Linked DNA regions of Rhinolophus ferrumequinum. The protein of the gene in region 1 interacts with the protein of each later gene in a pairwise test. Links are inferred from orthologs where the notes say so. Each region holds a gene or a part of one and is shown on either strand. Other genes may lie near its edges.

Region 1 (7,388 bases):
GTCCCTCTCCTCAGCACTTAGCCTGTGTGCTTTGCCAGCCTGGGAGAGGGAAAAAACAGAAGCCCAAGGGCACTTCTTAGTACAGGACAAAAAAGAGGTCCCCAGACCTTTCGGGGAATTGAGCCAGCTGCCACTGGCTCCTCTGGACTGGGTGACAGTCAAAGGGCAGCTGGCCCAAAGCTCTAGACTGGGAGGTGTGGAGGGTGGCGCCCTGCCCTGGCTCATGCACTGATAGGTGCTGAGATTTTACATTCCACTCAAAAGAACAAAATCCCGAGGTGTAATGCACCTCGTCGGGACTGAGAAGCCGTCCTCCCCCACCGCTGCCCCCAAAGCCTTACAGAGCCCCCTCTCCCCAAAAGCTAGTTCTCTTACATGAATGCAATAAAAGTAAAACCAAGCCCAGCTGTGCATGTATGAAAGCACAACCTTTCAGAAAGAGTACCCCAACTGCCCAACCTTCCTTTCCTGTTACGGACCTTACGCAGTCCACTCCTGTGCCCCCACGCCACTCACGGTCAGGTGTATTGAAGTGAGCTGAAGCGGGGCGGGGGGGTTGCGGGTGGGAGTGACCACTGCTCCCCCCCGTCGTCACTGAGAGCACAGGCATAGTTCTCGAAGTGGGTCCGTGCCTCCTCGCTGGGACCAGCCAAGCACCCAGCACTTAAAACACGGTCCAGTTGACTCTTAGCCACACTGCAGTTGACAGGCCCTGGCACTACCTCCCGGTGGGTACGCCACGGTGCTCCCATGCAGCCTCTGGTTCCCAGATGCCAGACTTAGGGTTCTCAGACTTCCACCTTTCCTGTCAGCCTGGGAAGCCCAAGCCACAGAGCTCTGTTAAAAGTGGAAGTAACTTGGCCAAAGGTGACTGGCAAACTAGTGCCCCATCTATATTTTTACCTATTGTGCAAAGTGCCCTCGGGGTAGTCCAAATTGGCACCATTCAGGCCATAAGAGGAACCATCAGAGAACAGAAGGAAGCAAAAGTCAGTCCCATCCTCTGGGAGGATCCAAGTGTAGGAACTTAAGGGATCCCAGAATGAGGCTCCTGAAATAGAACTCCCCACGGACAGAAACTGGAGTGCTCCACTGAAGACGAATCGAGGTCTGGGGAGACGACGAGAGGGAGGTTAATTTGGCTTTTGTGAGGCAGCCCACAGACTGGGAGCCATGGGTGGAGTGGGCAGGGCTGGTTCAAACCCAGTTCTGCCATGCTCCAGCCAGGTGGCCCAGGGCACCTGTCTCCCTTGGCTTCATGGTAAAAGGGGATAAGAATTTCCACTTCGCATCAGCAAGAGGAGCTCACGGGACACCAGTAAGGGAATGTTATCTGCATTTTTAAAAGGAGACTTCCTGGGACAAGTAGGCATATGGGCCTTGCAGGTTTGGGTAGAATTGGAAAAGCATTGCACATTCTGACAAGTCAATCTTTTTCTCCTTCCTGACAACGTGTGTTCTCTCTGGAAGATCTGACTTGGTCTGTCTCCTCTCCTAAGCTCTCGAAGGCTAGAGATGTCAATAGAGACCTGTGTCACATGCCCAACTCCATCTCCACTCCAGAGCTGGCCTTTTCTCAGTGGCTGATAAGCCTGCTCTACGTATCCAGGCAACCAGATGACCAGATGTCAGCCAAGGCATCAGAACCCACTGTTTAGTTCTTTGGTTTGGAAAGGAGTGGGTGGGTACTGGTGAGCTCCTGGGAGGCCACTCTTTCTCTTTAGAATCTTCTGGAACCCCCCAGGTCTCTCAGCCTGGGGATGAACTGACAAGCCCCTCTGAGATCTAGGATCAGAGAGAGGGCAGGGGTGGTGTTTACTTAGTAAATCACAGGTCAGGCCTGCCTGGCCTTGATCTCTGGGGGAGTGCATGGAGAGGTTACTGATTACCTACGCCCTGCATCTCGGGGCCTCAGGGCACCTGTCAGCCTCACTCACCACCTCTTCTCCCACTAAGCTATAGCCCTCAAAATGCCTTCCCAGATAGCACTGCAGTCTGGACTGCTCCTAATGCTTTTGGGCTGTTAGGTCAAGCTTCCCTGGGTCTAGCTTCCCTGGGTCTAGCCTACCTCCCCTAGCTGCCCCCAGGGCTCACCTTCACCTCTCTGGCTGAGGGCAGGGGTGTGGGGTGTTGAAGCACAGGGCCTGAGACCCTCTTAAGGGGCAGCTTAGCCTGAGGGACGGCTGATCCTGAGCAATCACGTCCCCACTGCTGGGTGCAGGCCTCAAACTAGGCGCCAGGAGCTGGCTCAGAGGCCGGGGACAGCACAGGGTGCACAGAGGGCTTAGCCAGCCGGTGCCCAGAAATGCGATAAACAGGCACACAGACAACACACAGATTCACTCCCACGCGCGCGCACACCCACACAGGTTGACCCCCCACCCTCAATACAGAACAGAACCGTACCACCGAGGGGTCATTATCTGCGGGCTCACTATGCTGTCCCTCACCACCCCAGGCCCTGGTCCCACCGCCCCATCTTCCCATAGGGAGTTCACTAAGCCCCGCCCAAATTATTGTGGCGCGGAGGGGGCGAGGGCCTGGGAGCCAGGGGCAAGCCTGGCTGTTACCTGGCCTTGCCACCGCCCTCTCCCGGCCTCAGCTTCTCCTGGGGCACAACCTGGGGTGGGAGCGGGGCGGAGACCCCGATTCTCCGAATCCCACGCGCGGTAGTCTGAGAGGGGCTCGGAAGAACCCTCCCTGTCCCTCCCACTTCACCCTACCCAGCCCTGCCCTTGCAGCCGGCCTGGCCTGAACCCCACATTGCCCCCTTCCTCTCCTGGGGCCCCACTGTGCGCCCGTTCGTAACGGCTCTGCCGCGATCGCGCAGCGCGATCCCCCCTCACCATGTCGGGGCGCGGTGCGGGCGCGGGCGAGCAGCAGGTGGCGGCGGAGAAGGCGAGCTCGGCGCTGGGTGCTCTGGGCGGCCGTCGGGCGGGGCCGCGCTCGGGCCGCCCCGGGGCGGGGAGCGCAGCCGGGGAGGGGCTGCCGCCTGTAATCATTAACTTGGGCGCTAGGACTCTGTTCCCTTCCAGCACTTTCTTCGGTGCCCTTGTTATGGGGAGCTCGGGTTAAGTACGCGGGATCCAAATGCAGACGCGTTTGAATCGTGCTCTGTGTGAATCGTGCTCTGTGTGTTCCAGCTGTGTGACCCTGGGCGCGAGATTATCTGTTTTAAAAACACCTATTGAGGTATTATTGATCTTCAATAAACTGCACATTTTAAAGTGTACAATCTGATGCATTTTGACATATGTATGCCCCCCTGCAACCATTACCACCATCAAGATCATGAACTATCCCTCACCCCTAAAGTTTCCATCTATCTGCCTCCTCAGACAACCATTGATCTGCCTCCCATTGCCATAGATTAGATTGCATTTTCTAGAATTCTATGTGAATAGAAATCGCATAGTACGTACTCTTTGCTGTGGTTTCTTTCACTCAGCATAATTACTTTTTGAGGTTGACCCAGGTAGGTGCATGTGGCAATGGTTCTTCCATGGCTAAGTAAAACTTATTTGATAGTATTACATTGTATTGGATATAATACACATCACAATTTGTTTATTCACTTGTTAATGGACTTTGGGTGGTTGCCAGTTTTTACGCTGCTATGAACTTCCCGTACAAGTCTTTGCATGGATAGATGATGCTTTCATTTTTCTTGGGTATATAAATACCTAGGAGTAGCTGGGCTAGGTCACATGGTAGATGTGTGTTTCTAACTTCTTAGGAAACTGCCAAAGCGGTCATACCATTGTACATCCGCACCAGCCTTGGGTGGGAGTTCCAGTTCCCACCACTCTCACAGACACACCAATACTTGGTAGGGTCGGTCTTTTTAATTTTAGCCGTTTTCATTGGTGTGTAGTGGTATCTCATTGTAGTTTTAATTTGAATTTCCTTAATCATTGATGATATTAAACACCTTTTCATGTGCTTACTATTTGCCATTGGTAAATCTTTGGTAAATTGCCTGTTCAAATTTCCTGTCCATTTTTTAAAAATCTAGTGTTTTCTTATTTATTTTACTTTTTATTCTTTTAAGATTTGTATTAAAATATAGCTAACATACAACGTCATGTTAGTTTCAGGTCTACACCATAGTTATTCAACATTTACATACCTAAAGAAGTGATCACTATGGTAAGTCCAACAACCATCTGACACTGTACCACACGATCACAATATTGCTGACTATATTCCTTATGCTGTATGTTACATCCCTGTGACTTGTTTGTTTTATACCTGGAAATATGGAACACTTATTCCCCTTCACCTTTCCCCCCCTTTTTTAGTTTTGGAATTACAGTTGACATTCAATATTATTTTATATTAATTTCAGGTGTAAAGCATGGTGGTCAGACATTTGTGTAATTTAAGAAGTGATCCCCCTGACTAGTACCCACCTAGCACTGTACTATGTATTATCATACTATTGACTATATTTCCTATGCTTTACTTTACATCCCATGACTATTTTGTAACTACCAGTTTGTACCTTTTAATCCCTTTACGTTTTCACCCTGTCCCCAACCCCACTCCCTTCTATCACCCCAACAAATCTAGTAGCCATCTGACACCATACATAGTTACTACAATGTTATTGACTATATTCCTTATGCTATACCCTACATCCCCATAACTACTCTTTAACAACCAATTGGTACTTTTTAATCCCTTCCCCTTTTTCACCCACACCCCCAACCCTCTTCCCATCTGGCAACTATCAAAATGTTTTCTGTATCCATGAGTTTGTTTCTGTTTGTTTATTTTGCACTTTAGATTCCACATACTGTGAAATCTCATTGCGTCTGTCTGACACTCCACTCAGCACAATACCCTCCAGGTCCATCCATGTCGCCGCAGATGGCAAGAACCCATTCCCTTCCATGGCCGAGCAATATTCCCTTGTATATATGTACCACCTGCTCTTTACCCATTCATCCATTGACGGACACCCAGGCTGCCTCCGCATCTTGGCTATTGTAAACAATGCTGCAATGAACATATGGATGCACACATCTCCTCGAAGTAGCGTTTTGGGTTTCTTCAGATAAATACCCTGAAGTGGGATTACTGGGTCCTTCTTTGTCTCTTCTTATAGCCTTTGTTTTAAAGCCTATTTTGTCTGATATAAGTATTGCTGCTACCCCAGCTTACTTTGTTTTGTTTTTTTCATTTCCATTTTCATGAATATCTTTTTCCATCTTTTCAGTTTCAGTCTATGTGTGTCTTTCAACCTGAAGTGAGTCTCTTGTAGGCAGCATATATAAGGCTCTTGTTTTCTTATCCATTCAGCCCTCCTGTGTCTTTTGAGTGGAACATTGAATACATTTACATTGAAAGTAATTGTTGATAAATATGTAGCTAGTGCCATTTTTATTATTCATAATTTTTATCTTTGTTTTTTGCATCTTGAAGTCCCTCTAATATTCCTTGTAACACTGGTTTGATGATGATGAACTCCTTTAGCTTTTTCTTTTCTGGGAAGCTCTTTATGTGTCCTTTGATTCTAAATGATAGGTTTGCTGGGTAGAGTAATCTTGGTTGTAGGTCCTTGCTTTTCATCACATTGAATGTTTTGTGCCTGTCCCTTCTGGCCTGCAGAGTTTCTATGGAGAAATCAGCTGACAGTCTCATAAGTCTCTAGTTGACTTTCTCTTCCTGCTTTTAGGATTCTCTCTTTTTCTTTAACCTTTGTCATTCTAATTATAATGTACCTTGGTGTGGCCCTGTTCGGGTTCATCTTGTTTGGGACTCTCTGCGCTTCCTGGACTTGTATGTCCATTTTCTTCGCCAGGTTAGGAAAGTTTTCAGTCATTATTTCTTCAGATATGTTCTCAATTCCTTGCTTTAGCTCTTCTTCTGGTACCCATAATATGCAATTGTTGTTTTGCTTGATTTTTTTTGGATTCTTTTTGCTGTTCCAATTGGGTGTTTTGTGCTACCTTGTCTTCCAAATCATTGATTCAGTCCTCTGCTTCATCTAGTCGGCTGGTGATTCCTTCTAGTGCATTCTTCATTTCAGTTATTGTATTTTTCACTTCTGACTGGTTCTTTTTTTATGGTTTCTATGTCTTTTTTTATGCTTGCAATCTGTTTGTTGAAGTTCTCACTAAGTTCCTTGAGCATCGTTATAACCATTGTTTTGAACTCTGTATCTGGTAGGCTGCTTGTCTCCATTTTGTTTAGGTCTTTCTCTGGATTTTTCTCCTACTCTTTCATTTGGGATGTGTTTCTTTGTTTCCTCAGTTTGGCTGCCTCTCTTTGTTTGTTTCTATGTGTTAGGTAGATCTGCTATGTCCCCCAGTCTTGGCCAGGTGGCCTTGTGTAGTACGTGTCCTGTGGGGCCCAGTGGCACAGTCTCCCTGGTCACCTGTACCAGATGCTCCAAGAGGGTCCCTTGTGTGGGTTGTGTGTGCTCTCCTGTTATAGTTGATGTTTGGTTGCTATTGGCATGCCAGTGGTTGGGATTGACCCTCAGGCTGATTGGCTGTGAAGTTTTGCCATGTCCGCAGCTGCTGTGGGTGGGGGTAGGTTTACCCCACTAAGTGGGATTCACCCCAGTGGGCTCTGATACCTGGTGAGACCACCCTTTGGGTGTGCCACTTGTGGGATTAAATGGGTGGTGTTCTGCTGTGGTCTGAAGCCAACCTCCAAATATGTTGGTTCTGGGGCCTCTTGTGAGGGGCTCCAGTGTAGGCCCAGATCATCTACTGCCTGTGACCAGCTAAGGACTACTTGGTAAGAGCTACAAAGAGATCTGTGGTTTTTTGCTGCCTGTGCTAACCCTGGAGATGCATGGGAGAGGTCATGCTTCGAACCAAGGATGTCTGCTACCATTACCAGGCCTGGGGTAGCTCCACAAAATGTCGGGACACCCTGAGCCTGCTGCCACCTGCCAGCTCCTTTAAGGTTCAGCCACTGACAAAGCCTCAAGCGGTAATCAGGTTTGGGAGAGGCAGGGTCTCAAGGACTCACAAGAGTGGAAAGAGTTGTGGTCACCAGGTTAGTGTAAATTCTGGTTTGGTGCCAGTACTTAACCTGAAGCTTCTCAGCAAAAGTCTCAGAGCAGGGTGGCTAATTGGCTCAGTTGGTTAGAGTGCAGTGCTCATAACACCCAGGTCACCTGTTCGATTCCCACATGTGCCAGTGAGCTACGCCCTCCACAACTAGATTGAAAATAACGACTTGACTTGGAGCTGATGGGTCCTGGAAAAACACACTGTTCCTCAATTTAAAAAAATATACTGTATTGTAATCATTAAAAAAAAAAGTCTAAGAGCACATTGAGGCCAATTGCTGCCTGCCCTGGGTCTGTCAGACTCTGATAGTTTTCCAAGAAAGAGTGCAATGTGGATGAGGCTGGCTGCTCTTAGAAA
Region 2 (7,694 bases), on another chromosome or scaffold:
GTCCCGCTGGCCTGGGATCATGCCTGTCAAGTCTGCAGTCTCGGCGTAATCATTGCTATCACCTGGACACTCTGAAGTGCCCCTGTTTGGACAACTCCTTACACGGTCACCTCCCCGTGGGGCCTCCCCGGGTGTGGGCTGCCACGTGCCTGGGCCTCCTGGACCAGAGCCTGGCTGGGCCCTGACCAGGAAGTGACAGTTTTGCATTTCCCACAAGAATTGTTGCCGTAGCCTCCCGAGACAAGGAACTTGGAAGAAAAGACCAGGTGGGGATTACTGGGGTGACGTGTGGGAGCATGGGAAGGGATTCAACAAACATGAGGTGACGGACTAGCCAGGGAGTCACAGAGAGCGACCATCAGATGGGCACCGAGAGGGCAGGGGACAGGTGTGGGATCACAGGCCTGCAGTCAGTAGTGCAGACAGGGTCCTGGGGAGGGGGCACCGGGCACTGGGCAGAGCCGCCCCCTCACAGGGGAGCTGGGTCAGGGTGCGAAAGGGGAGGGTCCCCGTGAGAAACCTGTCAAGATCATCAACCATGCCCTTCTCCTCCTCTCACCGACAAAGTACAAGTTAAACAGACGCTCAGAGCCGATGTCCCTCCCTCAGTGTATTGGTTTCCTGCCACCACAAAAAGCCACAAACTGGTGGTGTAAACAACAGGAATCTGCTCTCCCACGTTTCTGGAGAAAAGTGTGAGGTCAAGGTGTTGGTCTCATCAGGGCCGGGCTCCCCCTGCGGGAATCAAGGGAGGGGCCTCCCTGCCTCTTCCAGGCTGTGGTGGCCGCCTCAGTCCAGGGCGTCCTGGCTCTCAGCTGCACCTCTCCAGTCTGTGCCTCGGCTGTCACATGCATCGCCCTGCGTGTCTGCATTCACATCGGCTTCCTCCTGTGTCTGTTTCTGCATCTCTTCCCCTCTTATAAGGATGCCACTCAAGCTGGATTTAGGACCTACCCTACTGCAGTGTGACCTCATCTTAGCTTAAACAATTACACCTATTCCCAGAAAGCCACGCTCCGAGGTTCCAGGAAGGACGTGAATTTGGGGAGGACACGATTCTACCCAGCACACTTGGCAGTCACTTAGTGACAATGGTTTGTTTCACAGGGAAGAAATCTGAAACCCAAGAGAGGTCGGGAGCTTGCCCAACTCGGGCTGGTGGGAGGACCGGGCTCCCTGGGGTCTCCTGCTGCTGCCCGGGCCTTTCAGGGACCATGTTCGCCCTCCTTCTAGGACATACTCAGCACAGGGCCCTGGCAGATGTGACTCGACGCCTTCCAGGTCCTCCCCTCGGTGGCTGTGAGACCTCGCTTCCTGCTGGAGCAGGGCCAGCTGCTCGGGTCTGGGTCCGGGAGGTGGGGCTGCCAATGACGGGCAGGTCTCCTCAGATACATCTGCTCCCCGGCTACCAGCTCTGTTTATTTCTGACTTATCTCTTCCTCTGGTGCCCTGGTCATCAGCCCGGTCATTCCTGGGGAGGTTTCCTTGTGATAGCACCTGGGCCGATGCAACAGCTCGAAAGCCAAAGCTGTGGAATCAGTGGTCACTGAGGCTGGAACCACCCCAAGGACACCTTGAGCCAGACAGCAGTTTCCCCTATGTGCTCAGGGGCTGTCACATACCCCCACCATCTGTGGTAGGATGAGAGGCATCCGAGGGCCCTCTCACTGGGACCCTGTCCCCCTCCCCTCCGCTGCACAGTTGCTGGGTGACACATTTGCAGGGTCTAACGCCCTCCCTGTTTGTCCTCAGTGGAAGCCACGCCAAAAGCCAGGAGGCTCCCCGAATCGATCCACTAGGATGGCTGCTCACATCCTGAAGCTTCGACGGGAGGAAACTGAGAACACAGAGGGAGCGGCCCGCCCCCAGGCAGCTGCAGAACGTGGTGACAGCTGGTCAGCAGGCGGCCCCGGGAGGTGTGGGACCCCAGGGCCCACCCAGGGATGCTGATGAGCATGACCTTGTACCTTCTTCTTCCACCTGGCTCTCTGCTGGCTTCAGTAACCAAGAGTGACCAGATTAGACGCCGAGAGGTGACACGTCCTAACGCTGTGTAGGACACCATATTTTCTGAGGGGTGGTGCGTTAGTACTACCTGTCTGGAACCCCCTCTGACCCTCACCCACCTGTGAACGCCTACCCATCCCTCAAGACCCAGTCAGGTTTCATCCTGATGAGAAGCCAGCTGTGCAGCATTCTGCCAGGTCTAATCGCATTGCATCACAAGTCACGCTTCAAGGCTTGTTCTTCCTCACAGGGCTGTGGGCTCTGAGGTCCGCAGCTCTGCCTGGTGTCCGTAGGGCCCAGCTCTCAGGCCAAGTGCCTGGCCCGTGATCCACTCTCGGTCCATGCTTGCTACACACATGTACCAATGGCCAGGCCATGCATCCTGCACCTCAGTCTCAGAGCCAGACCGCCTGCTACTTGGGCCCGTCCAGGTGGCCCTTACCTTCCCTGGGACAGCTGCACACCAAGCCCAGGGTGTGTGGTGTTTGTAGGGGGAGGGGGAGTTCCCTGGCTCAATGGATAGTAACGGAGTTTCACTGAAAGCAAAACACCAGCGGTGGCTCTGGGCGCGGATGCTCAGTGGGCTTCAGTCTCTGGATTACCTGCTTGGGGGCAGGGCCCTGGTATCCACATGGTTCTAGCCGGTGGAGACCAGGACACTCAAAGATGTTGCTTGTCAGAGCAGCCTTCGAATAACTGCCCCTTCTAGGCCCGTTTCTGAGGTGTTTGCACTTTCTGGAACGCGGCCCACGTCCACAGCCTGGCCAGGCCCAAGGGTGTTATGGGTGGGTAGGCAGAAGGTCTGGCTGGAAACAGCTCCCAGGAGTTTCTCCAGGAGGATCTTTTTCATAGCATAAAAATGGTGCCCTCTTTTAGCTTGGGTGCACTCCCTCCCTCTGGGAACAGAGCAAACGCCCTGAAAACAATGTAGGAATGGCTCTTCTCGTCTTCCCGCCTGCATTTGCCTTGGAGAAGGTGGGAGACCAGTGGCAGGCATTGCCCAAATCAGGTCATCGATGGCTCACTGAGTATAAGGGGCTGGGCCTGTGTGGGGACAGAGCCAGGAGTGCAGTTTCCAGGCTCTCGGCCTCACGTGGAAAGGTGCTGGCTCAGGTAGTAAATGGCCGTCAACTGTGACTGGATGGCCATCAGCTGTGGCTAGTTGGCCGTCAGCTGTAACCAGTGAGCCATTGGCCACTAATATAACTGCTGTGGCTAGGCTAGCAGAAAATGGGGGCTAGCAAGGAGATGGTGGCTGAGCCTGCAAGCGGAGCAGTAAGGGTTGAGAATTGTGTGGCTCCTGGTTCCTGTGTCTCCAACCCAGCCGCCAGCGAGACTATAGTGGTGTGACTCCCCTATCTATGGCTCCGTGGGTGTTCCTTTTTGGCCTCACCATGTCCTGCGTTCTTATGTGGGGAGCGGGAGCTGAGACCCCGCATGATACCCTGCATGACAGCCTGGAGAGTCCCACTGTGGGACACGGTCCTTGTCCCCAATGCGTGCACAGTCTGGCCCCATCGGTCACTCAATAAAGGACCATTCTGTGGGCAAACTTTTGGGTGCTCAGATCCCCCCAACCGGGAGGACTAAGTTCAACTATCCAGCTGCACCTGCTGCTGGGATGGCATGCAAAACCCACCTGAGGCTCCTGGAAAAGTCACTGGGTAACACTGGCAGCACCTGACAGGATGCCCCAGGCAGAAAAGAACTATGGAGACACCACAGTAACTAGAACACCATACGCTCTCTCCTGCACGGGAAGGGGGGAGGCTGTGAACAAGAGCCGAGATTGCAGGGCCCTACAGAGGGGGGCTGACCCCAGCTCCACATGGCCTTCTAGAGCAACCTCTGATGGCCACCTTAACTTCTGTGCCTTAGTTTTTTCCTCTGGAAAATGGGTATAACGATTCTCATGTCATTTAGATATGCTGTTATAAAACAATTTTCCAGATTTGCCTTCATTTAAAAAAAAAGCAAGCTGGGCATAGGTGTATGGTAAGTTCCCATTTGTGTTAAAAACGTGCTTAGATCTAGAGAACGTTCTGGAAAAATACTCAAGACCGTATCAAACACGGACACCACTAGACAGGAGGGCATCTTTAGCATTGTCTGATTTTCAAAACAATTGCACGTATTGTATTTTTATTACAATGTATTGAATACGTTTACTGACTACACTTATGGAAATGTAGTTCATGATAAAAATATTTTTTGCTGGATAAAAAGCAAAAAGGAAAGGACAGGAATGTGCCTTCCAGGAGTTGTGAGAGAACAATGAAATTGCACCTGACTCTTCAAGAACTCAGGGCTGATCTGGGAGTAAGTGGCGTGGGGACTCAAGTCATTGACTAGGGTAGCTTCTGGATTGCTCCTGGCAGGCTGAGCCTTGACCATCCCCCCAGGCCATGCAGACGGGGGCTGACACAGCCCTGCTCCCGGACAGAGGAGTGTCAACCCCAGCGTCACCAGTGGGGTCAGCACCACCCTCTCCCCTTCACGGAGGTGAGCCTGTGGGGCTTTCCCATCAAGCCCAGGGAACAGCAGGCGGGGCTAGAGCCAGAGGCAAAGCCTGTCCCCAGACAAACAGACTCCGGAATACCTGTGCAAACACAGGCGTATAAATGAGACTTCTTGGCAGAGGTGGCACATCCACTGAGTGGCCGGCTCACACAGCGCGCCCGTCACCATGGAGGCCAGACTGCCCTGGCTGCTGACAGTGGTCCTGGCCTTGGTGTTCTCCAGCTCGTCCGGGGAGTATGTGGGCCTGTGTGAGTACCTCTCTGACTTCTCTTCCCTCCACAGCAGGAAGGATGGGGTGGGGGCGGCTGGTGGCAGGGTGGGAACGCAGCACCAAGGGAAGGGGCACGGGAGACCCAGGCTTGGAGCTTTCTGTGGACTTGAGGAAGGCAATGGAGCCCCCACGTTAATTGAATAATTGCCATTTACCAGACACACACGTTTTCCCTCGACAGCCCTAGATATGGGTTTTGTTGTCCTCATTTTAGACAAGGAAACAGGCGCAGAAAGTTAATAACTGGCCTAAGGCAATCCTGCCCGTCAGCACTGAAAGCAGGATTCGAACCCAGGCCTGCCTGGCTGGCAGCCAGCCCCCAGACCACCATCCCGTCACCTGCTTTGCTAGACTTACGAATCACAACACAGGCCTTTATGCTTTGTGTTGACGCAATCACAAAACAAAAGGGAAGACAAATGACAAGGATTCCTTCCAGAACAATTCTGAAATTGTTTAGCCCTTGCAGTGTAACTCCAGGCAGGAGATGTGACCGTTTCATTATCCCAGCTTTGAAGAAACGAGGGTGTGGCTTTTATCAGCTCACCTCTGTAGCCGTGTCAAAGGCAGCGTTCCCAGACTTGGCACCTCCCGATTCACCTGGAGCCCAGGATGCTCCAATTACACGTCTCTGGGTGGGAGCGGGGGTGGGCATCAGTCGTAGTGAGAGGTCCCCCGTGGGTCCCAATGTGAGCAAAGTTTGGGAACCATGGGAGTGAGGACTTACACACTGGCAGCAATAGAAGAGGATTTAAGAGACTTCGTGTGATTTCTATTTTCCTAAGGAAAAGTTAGGTGATGAGGCAAAGGGGACATACTAACCTTAGACGTACAGGTTTGCTTGAAAAACGAACATTGAAGACTGGAGGATGTAAGGGAAGGTGTGACAAGCCAAACAATTTGGGGACAGGGAGGTGCAGGAAAGAAGTGAAAAACTCAGCGTGCATTGTGGTTTTCTCTATTGGATGTATATCTTCTGTTACACTTTTCATTTAAAAAGAAAGGGTGGGAGGGATTTTCGTTGATAAAACAGTAAAAGGGAACTTTGTTTCTGGGTTCAAGGGACCTGGTCCATGGCTTCTGCCCGCTGAAGGGAGCCTAGGCCCATGCTGACTTCCTGAGGTGCTAAGAGCACCCGGGCAGATGACCAGACTTCCTACAGAACATTTCTCTTTAAATATTTACACGGAAAAAGCATCCTCCTCGAGCCAATGTGGGTGGGGGGTCACATATTTGGGACTCGGGATGGGGGTGCAAACTTGCAAACTGAAGCCAGCAGACCAACCCCAAGTAGCGCCCTGGCAGCTGACTGGGCTTTGTCTGGCACAGCGGAGAACCAGTGTGCCGTCCCGGCCAAGGACAGGGTGGACTGCGGCTATCCCCAGGTCACCGCTGAGCAGTGCAATAGCAGGGGCTGCTGCTTCGACTCCAGCATCCCCGGGGTACCCTGGTGCTTCAAGCCACTGGAGAAGTCAGGTAAGCCAGCCCCACAGGCACCAGGCCCTTTGTGGGCCTGCGATGGCTCCTCCGGGTCCCCCTGGGCCCTGGGCCATGCTGTCCGTTGGTGGACGCCTCAGTCAGAGGCTTCGTGTCCAGGGCAGTCAGCTGCCAGTGGCTGTCCCCGGCTGTCCTGTTGCCGAGCGGTTTGTGCAAAATGTAAAAGCAATCGTTTCCAAAAAGTATTCAAAGTCAAGGTATTATGTAGAAAGAACTAGTTTAAAATTATCTTGGAGTACGTGTGGAAAGCTGGGCCGACTTTCCAGGAGGTATTCAGCAAACCAGCCAGCCACCATTATCTGTGACATGCAGATAGCAGACGGGTGGCAGCACCAGGCCTGCAGCCCTGGTGTCTCTCCGTACCCTGCCACCTTCCCCCCACCCCGCCTCACCACGAAGCACCCCTCCTGCTCCCTCCCTGGGTGGTGCAGTGGGGTGCAGGACAACCACCGGGGAGCCCCACGTCAGCAACAGATGGCGTGCACACGGGTGGCTGCTGTCTGGGCCCTGCCGGCCCCACCCCACACATCCTGGGCGTGGAGGTCACCATAAGCCACCTGGCAGCCCAAGTGCCAGCTCACCTCTGAGGAGGACATAGCTACGTTAGGCGCCTTCCTGGAGTCAGCACCCTGGGGGCCGCTCTTGCCCTTTGTCCCAGGATAATGAGGAAGGGGCTGCCCCCCAGCTGGTCAGTAACGGGGTCCCTGCCCACTGCCCAGGGAGGACCTCCTCCCCATTGCCAGCAGATCCGGGCAGAGGTCTAGATAAGGTTTTGGGACCAGGAGGCAGAGCTACCCATTGTCCCTTTGCTGGGTGTCCTTATTCTATCTATTCCTCAGCCTGGGGTGACACCTTCTTTTCTGGACATGGGGTGTCCCCTGGGGCTTGGCAGGACATGTGGCTGTTCTCCCACAGGGTGGGGGACTCAACACGTCCCCAGTGACTTGGGGGAGAATGCAGCCTAAGGCGCTGAACTTGGGTTCTGTCTTGACCTTGAGAAGCTGGGTGTCGGGTGGGTGGAGACCAGACCTGCTCACGGTAATGCATCCTGTGCTTTGTTTCCAGAATGTACATTTTGAAGCCACGCCCACTGCCCCTGGACACCCTGGGAGGTGAACGTCCACATCCAGGCACTCTGCCCGCTCATCTCTGCCTTTCTATCACCCTGCTCCTGGCAAGGCTTCATCTGAAAGTTGATGTCTGGGGCCTGATGTCTTAAAGAATAAAGATCCATGCTCAGCACAAGGCCAGGTGTTCATTCCTGAGACTTTATGTTGTTGTGTTTTATTTCTGCCAAGTTGCTCTCACTCCCTTCTCAACAATTCACAGGTGGGGGATGGCAAGGGGTGTCATAGCATCTCTGACAGAGGGTCTGTCCCAGCCTCGTGAGCAGGAAAAT
Region 3 (7,076 bases), on another chromosome or scaffold:
CTCCCTGCTCTTGCAAAGTTTACAATCTAATTGGATTGACAAGACACCGTCAGGAAATCACGAGAAAGGGTAGTGGGGCTAGGAGGAAGAATAGGAGTTTGAATACAGATAGGCCTTGGGGTGGGGGTAAGTGAATTCCAAAAGAGCTCTGAGATTGGTTCACAAGGCACCCATTTTGTGCCACCTCGGGAGGTCAAAGAGAAGTCTTATGCCTTGCCTGAACTTTGGCTTTGCGGACATCGGCTCTCCAAGTAGGAGGGAATGGTGGTAAAGCTTCACAGCTACCGTTTACTGAATACTACTTACTGTGTCCACCACGATCTATTAGGTCCGCAAGTTCCCCCAAACTCTGCGCCGGGAGTTTTGAAAGGAACACAGTGACATCTGCCGGCCACCTTACAAACTACCAACTCAAGGTCGTTCACGGTTTGTAAGGCGGAGCTCCATTCCTTGGATGGTATCATACCTTTGTGAGGCTGGGTTTATGGCAGTTGTTCTGATCAAAAGCAAGTATCATGCAAAAATGAGTGTGGAACAGGAAATGAAGGTGGTGACGTGACATGCAATCTAATTCCAAGGTCTGAGCAGCTGTTTAGGGCCCAACAAGGCCACTCATCCCATTTGTGTGTGATTATTTAAGAAGGAACCAAAATATTATTTTTTCTTTCAATTTATGTGCATTTTTAAAGGGGCTACTTAGTTGTTAGGACATAAATACTTAGTTGTTTTGCCCTAACTACTTACTAAATATAACTGTTAGTATTTTTTGTGGGGGTGGGCTGTGCCATGAAAAAATTACTGAGTCATGAAAGGCACCTTGAATTGAGAAAGTCTGGGATCTCTGCTTTATGATCTTTACAACTTCACAAAGAGTTGTCTTAAGCTAATTTAGGAGATCCATACCTCTATTTTATAGATGAGTCAAGAAAAACTAACTCACTTGCCTGAGGCGGCCCAGTGTGGGGGTGGGGGGTATGGGGACAGTGAAATTCAAACGAGGTCGTGTGTGATTCTCAAGAAGGCAAATTGCCACTTCCCACCTCCAGTCAATTCCGATTTGTCCCCTGATGGTGGGAAAGGGCAGGCTGCGGGCTGGGACCAGCTTTCTGTTGGTCGTGCCTCATCCTGGAAGAGGCAGGGTCAGTTTCCTGATGTCCCTTCTCATTTATCACAGGGTCCTCCCTACTCAGGGGCCCAAGACAATAGCCTCTGTGTGTACTGGGAGCTGAAGTTGGGCCCTGTGGGAGCCCCTCCCCTGGGACTCCTGGAGGCTCTACCTCCACCCACAACCGACAGGTCCCCGTCCCAACCAAGTCCACCTTCAGTCCCAGAGTCACTTCACCAACCCAGCCACCTGGCTGCAGGGGGACCCAGAAGTTAATGGGTTCAAAAGTTGTTCAAAGGATCCAGGCCCTACCCTTCTCGCCCTTCTAGGTGAAAAGTCGCGGAGGGGCAGCAGCAGCCCCCAAGCAGCCTCCTGGCAGGAGCTAGCAGCCGGAGAACCACGAAACCACCAAGGGACAGCACACAGCATCCTCCCTGTCCTATAGCTTGGACTTGAGAATTCTACCCATCCCCCCACCCCCGCTTCCCCAGCAGTGAGATACCTGACCCCAAAGCTACTTGCACTGGAGGGAAAAGAAGGCATTGGAGGAAAGGTGGGGGTCCCACTTTCCCAAGGGGCAACTGCAAACGTCCTCCTTCACAGTCTGTCTATCTGGCTCTGGGGAACTCTGGGCTCGCGATTTAACCCCTCTGAGACTGTTCCCTCTTCTGGGGGAATAATAACAGTACCTACTTCCTAGAGTCGGTCTGAGAATTTAATACATTACTAAAGCTTAGCGTACAGCTAGGTATACACGGTCAATGTGCGCTGAAATGTAGCTAATCATTCAACAAGTATTTATCGAGCACCTACTATGTATGTACGAGGCACCATTCTAGACACTGGGGATATAACAGTGAATGAGACAAACAAAAGCCCTGTCTTCAGGGGGCTTACATTCTAGCAGAGGAAGACAGACCGTACATAATGAACAGAATACATAAGTAAACTACAGAGCAGTGCTGTCTGATAGAAATAGGAGCCACATAGGTAATTTAAAACTTTCTGGTAGTATCATTACAAAAGCAAACAGAAACAGGCAAAAATAATTTTTCTAATTTTTAATACATTTTCTTAAAAAATGTTGTTTTAAAATTTTCACCCAACATATCAAACCATTGTCATTTCAACCAGTGGCATTAGCCACGTTTCAAGTGCTCAGTAGCCACGAGTAGCTAGTGGCTATGGTGTTGGGCAGTGCAGTTGGCCAACATGTTAGAAGGTAAGTGAGTGCAAAAATGAAGACGCAATTCAGGGTAAGGGGGACTGGAGCACCAGGTATGGGGGTGGACAGACCAAGAAGGTGGATGTGAGCCAAATAGAGGGGAGAAAGTTCTATTGTTATTGTTGACCTGTCCCATTCCCTCTCTGTTGGCCTGGCCTAGTTGCAGGGAGGGTTTTGTGGCCAATGGCACCTTCTCCCAAGCATGACCCAGGTTCTGCAGACCCCTGAGAGATGCAGACCCTCTGGAAATGCTCCCGCCTGAAGGGCAGCCCCTCAGTACCACCCCGCCTACTCCTGGGTAGACCCCTTATTCTGGGGCCAACCCAGGCAACACACCGCAGGAATTTTGTCAAGACTCTGACTAGAAGAGAGAAGAGGTGGGTGAGCTGCGAGGACCAGCTCTTGCCCAGAGCTGGGATTAGGGGGAGGTGAATGAGGGTGAGAACATTTTTTAAAAAAATTTTGCTACTTTGTTCATCACAGATGTTTTGGCATTAATTTAAAAATACATTCATGGATTCCTATATCATAAAATTCACCATTTAAAAATATTTACCCTTTTCAAGTTCAGAACTCAGTGGTTTTTTGTATAGTCAGAGTTGTGTAATATCACTCAATCAATTTTAGAACATTTCCATCATCCCCAAAGAAACCCCTTACTCACTAAACAGCGGCTCCCTGTTCCCTGCCCCTCCCACCCCCCGACCCTCAACTGCCAGTCTACTTTCCGTCTCTGTGGATTTGCCTGTTATGGATGGACACTTCATATAAATGGACTCATAATATGCAACCTTTTGTGTCTGGCTTCTTTCGCTAGTATAGTGTCTTCAGTGGTTCATCCATGTTGTACAGCACTTTGTTCTGTTTTCTGGTCAAATAATACACCGCTGCATCGACAGACCACATTTTATTTACCCATTCATCCACTGAGGCATGTTGTTTCCACATCATCGCTAGTGTGGATAACGCTGCTACTACAGACATTCACATGCGAGTTTCTGTGTGCACATGTATTTCGTTCTTTTGGGTTTTGCATCCATTTTGATGTTTAAATATATTGTATAGAAATGTGATTTTTTTTGTTTACTGAGTTTTTTGGCACCCCTTTCAAATATGCGCCTGAGTCAACTGCCTCACAGACCTCACCTTATTTCCACCCTGAAAGTCTTGTCCCTGGTTAGCTGTGTGACTTTGGGCAAGTTGCGTACCCTGTTGGAGCCTCGAGCCTCAGTTTCCTCCTCTATAGAATGGGGATAATTCCTGTACCTACCTTCTCATTGTTACAGACCTTGGCACACTGTAGACCTCAGTTAACAGCTTTTCCTACAGGCAGGCCTGGTGTCAGGCCTGAGGGGGCAGGTCCCCAAATGAATATGACCTTGCCCTTGAGGAGAGCTGGCCCACTTGCCTACAACTCCCTGCTGCTTCTGTTCCCAAGGGAAACCTGCTGTTTTTGCTCTCCTGCCTCAGCCTGGCCCCCCTACAAGGTCCTTGGGGGTGGGACCTGATGCTGCTCACCCGAAGTCCTCCTTGGCTCCCGGCACCTTCCATCCCAGCTGCCCTGGGCCCCCCACCACCGCCTCCCCCACCCTCCGCTCTGCCCACTCCCATTGAAGGCCGTGGCTCGCCGTCCCTCTGTGCTGCCATGAGGCCTGCACTTTGCAGGGCTGAAGTCCAAAGTTCAGTCCCTTCGCTAAGCACACGGATAAATATGAACCTTGGAGAATTTCCCCAGCTCCAATGTAAACAGAGCGGGCAGGGGCCCTGATTCACTGGCCGCCGGGGCCAGGGTTGGGGGTTGGGGGTGCCCACAGGGCTAGACTAGTGGGGTTTGGGGGGGACTATAGGTGCAAGCAGCCTGGTTTGTACCTGCCTGCTGACTGGCTGGCAAGTAGACAGTCCACGCGGTGGGGGAGGCGGCCCGCTTGGTGGCCCCGGGCCGCGTGGCCCCGTGGTAGTGGAGCCATGGTTTCTAAACTGAGCCAGCTGCAGATGGAGCTCCTAGGAGCCCTGCTCGAGTCGGGCCTGAGCAAAGAGGCACTGATCCAGGCATTGGGTGAGCCGGGGCCCTACCTGCTGGCTGGAGATGGCCCCCTGGACAAGGGGGAGTCCTGTGGCAGCGGTCGAGGGGAGCTGGCCGAGCTGCCCAATGGGCTGGGGGAGACGAGGGGCTCCGAGGAGGAGACGGACGACGATGGGGAAGACTTCACGCCACCCATCCTCAAGGAGCTGGAGAACCTCAGCCCCGAGGAGGCGGCCCACCAGAAAGCCGTGGTGGAGAGCCTGCTGCAGTAAGCACCCCCTTCCCTGTCTCCAGCTCTAAGGAGCCCAGAAGGGCCCACCCTCAGCCCCTGACTAGCCCTGCTGAGGCCAGAGTTCCGTGAGCTGGGCCTTTAGCCCAGTTGTCGGGAAGGGGGACAGGGCCCATGAGAGCTCAGGGGGGATGTTTACTCGGAGGCTGGTCTCCAAGCCCCCTCTCCCCCCACCTGGCCCTCCACAGAGTCCTGAGACCCCATGAGCCAAGGCTTTCAGCCCAGTGCTTGGGAAGTGGCCCCATTCCCCAGGGGAGCTCCAAGATGGGAAAAAAGCAGGAGACTTTACAATTCAAGTGCCTGGAGAACGAGAGGGTGGTGGGAATTTTTAGCCATGGCCAGTTCTACACTCCAGACCCTACTTCCCAGCTAAGTGCTCAGATTACAGGCTTGGGGGCCAGGGAGCATGGCGGGGGAGGTGGGGGGGGGCGGGCAAGGCCGAGGTTTTGGAGGCTCCCCTGGCCACCCGGGGACTCAAGCATTCAGCCAGGTCTTTCTTACCTGAGGGAGATGGAGCCTCAGAACGGGAGCTGCTCTCCTTTCTAGCACAACCTCAGGCTCTCCTGTCTCACCAGCAGGCGCTATTAGAGGCCTCTCGTTGTGTACCCCCATCCAGGGGCTGGCTCCCCATCTCTCGGAGAACTGGGTGGGTCTGAGTCTGATGCCTCCCCTCTCCTCAGCAGAGCTAACCTGGTTACTAATTACCCATGGGCTTTATTATTTCTCTTTTGTTTTATAAATTTATAAATGGCAAAAGGCTCTGATAAGGCCTGTGATCATTAACTTATAGGGATGGTGGCCTGGGGAGGCCTGAGCCAATGAACCTCCCACCCAGCGGGGGTGGGGGATGGAGAAGTGCAGGAGCGGAGGTGGGGAAAGGGAAGTCTGGGGGCTGTGAGGACCCCCTTCCCAACGCCCCTTTAACCTCTTTCCTAAGCTGGGTGCTGTGCTGAGGGTTTGCATGTACGTATAATTTTGGATAATGTGGAGATGAATCCTGGGAGGAAGCTATGGAAACTCTGCTCCGCAGATGAGGAAACTGAGGCCCAGAGAGGGGAAGTAGCTTGACTAAGGCCACTCGGCTGGGACTCCACACCCACTCAGTTTGGTGCTCTCAATCCCCATGACTGGGGGCCAGGGGTCGGCTGACAGTCACTGGGGCGGGGTCTGAGGAAGAGTTCCAAAGACGCTCTCCAGAGGGACCTTCTCTTTTCTGTTCAAGGTCCCGACCCCAGCTTGGGGTGGGGGAGGGCTGGATCCCTGCCTCAGGGAGTTCTCTGAGTCTGCCTGGCCTTGTGAGGGCCTGGGCAAGGGGCAGGGGAGCAGACAGGCCCCCTGACTTGGCAGGAAGAGGAGGGCAAAGGGCCCTGCTATGTTGCAGGGGAGGGGCAAAGAGTCAGGCATGGCAGACCCAGGGCGAGGGCACCTGGGACAGGGTGGGGCTGGGCCAGACCTGCTCAGGACCCCAGATGGGAATGGGGGCTTTCAAATGGGACAGGGGGACAGGGGGTGCCAAGGGCCTTTCTTACCTGGCTGGGTGGGGCCTCTTGATCAGCAGCCCCTTTGGTGGGATGGTGGGTGGGGGGAGGCTTGATCCACAGCACTTGAGGGTGAGAGCAGAGGTTAAAGTGCTCTCTAGGGACCAGCAGAGGCCTGGAAGCTGAGGGAGAAAGGGGAGACAGGGAGGAGGAGAGAGGGCGTGGGGCAGACGGATAGAGGCTTGGAGAAGCAGAATTGAGAAGAGGAGTGGGAGGAAAGAGGGGCTCACACCCAGCGGGGAGAAGGGGCTGGGGAGAGAGAGAGGCACCCCAAGCTGAGAGGAGGCTGGAGTGCTCCCGCCTGCCCCGATTGGGTTTTCTTTAATGCTAACAGCATGCTATTTACTTTCCATTTAAATTTGAGATGTTGCTATAAATTATCAACCAGCTCCTTGTTCCTGCGGAGTTTATAACTAACTACCTGGGTTACTTATTGTTCAGGTAACAAAAGGGATCAGAAACCGCCCTGAGGGAAAAAAGTGGGACCTATAGTCCCAGGGAACAGGAAGGAGAGGGGCTCGGGACCCCTGATGTCGGCCCGGGGCAGTGGGGGAGTTTGAAGCGCAGAAGGAGGGTGCAGAGGCAGGACTTCCATCTGTCTGCAGAAGACAGTGTCTTGGAAGAGGCAGCGTGGGTCCTGGGTCCCAGATCTCCCCAGGCGCCCTGTGCCTGAGGCTACAGCACGGCCCTGAGCTCTTCCTTTAATTCACTGTGTGACCTTGGGCCAGTCTCTTCTCTGCCTCCTGCCTCCGTTTCCCTACCTGGACAATGAATCAAATCCAAACTCCCTGGCCCAGTTCCCTGTCCTCTGAGGGACCTCTCACCCTCCCTCCCTTTCCTCCCGTTACACAGACTTTGCTGAGTCCCACCTCAGAGCCTTTGCATGTGCTGTTCCT

The links.
Region 2: the proteins of PCBD1 (region 1) and trefoil factor 3 interact in binary tests that used the Homo sapiens proteins (3 or more experiments, as listed by UniProt). The two-hybrid records come from large-scale screens. The link is inferred for Rhinolophus ferrumequinum from reciprocal best matches to the Homo sapiens genes PCBD1 and TFF3.
Region 3: the proteins of PCBD1 (region 1) and HNF1A interact in binary tests that used the Homo sapiens proteins (3 or more experiments, as listed by UniProt). The link is inferred for Rhinolophus ferrumequinum from reciprocal best matches to the Homo sapiens genes PCBD1 and HNF1A.

The regions. Positions count from the first base shown.
Region 1 is NC_046299.1:48,901,768-48,909,155, forward strand, and holds the start of PCBD1 (pterin-4-alpha-carbinolamine dehydratase), read right to left. Parts: upstream 3,018-7,388; 5' UTR 3,003-3,017; coding exon 2,847-3,002; intron 40-2,846; coding exon 1-39. UniProt on the Homo sapiens protein: Involved in tetrahydrobiopterin biosynthesis. Seems to both prevent the formation of 7-pterins and accelerate the formation of quinonoid-BH2. Coactivator for HNF1A-dependent transcription.
Region 2 is NC_046285.1:106,268,612-106,276,305, reverse strand, and holds trefoil factor 3, read left to right. Parts: upstream 1-4,681; 5' UTR 4,682-4,693; coding exon 4,694-4,775; intron 4,776-6,127; coding exon 6,128-6,274; intron 6,275-7,360; coding exon 7,361-7,374; 3' UTR 7,375-7,560; downstream 7,561-7,694. UniProt on the Homo sapiens protein: Involved in the maintenance and repair of the intestinal mucosa. Promotes the mobility of epithelial cells in healing processes (motogen).
Region 3 is NC_046308.1:13,561,999-13,569,074, forward strand, and holds the start of HNF1A (hepatocyte nuclear factor 1-alpha), read left to right. Parts: upstream 1-4,063; 5' UTR 4,064-4,295; coding exon 4,296-4,621; intron 4,622-7,076. UniProt on the Homo sapiens protein: Transcriptional activator that regulates the tissue specific expression of multiple genes, especially in pancreatic islet cells and in liver. Binds to the inverted palindrome 5'-GTTAATNATTAAC-3'.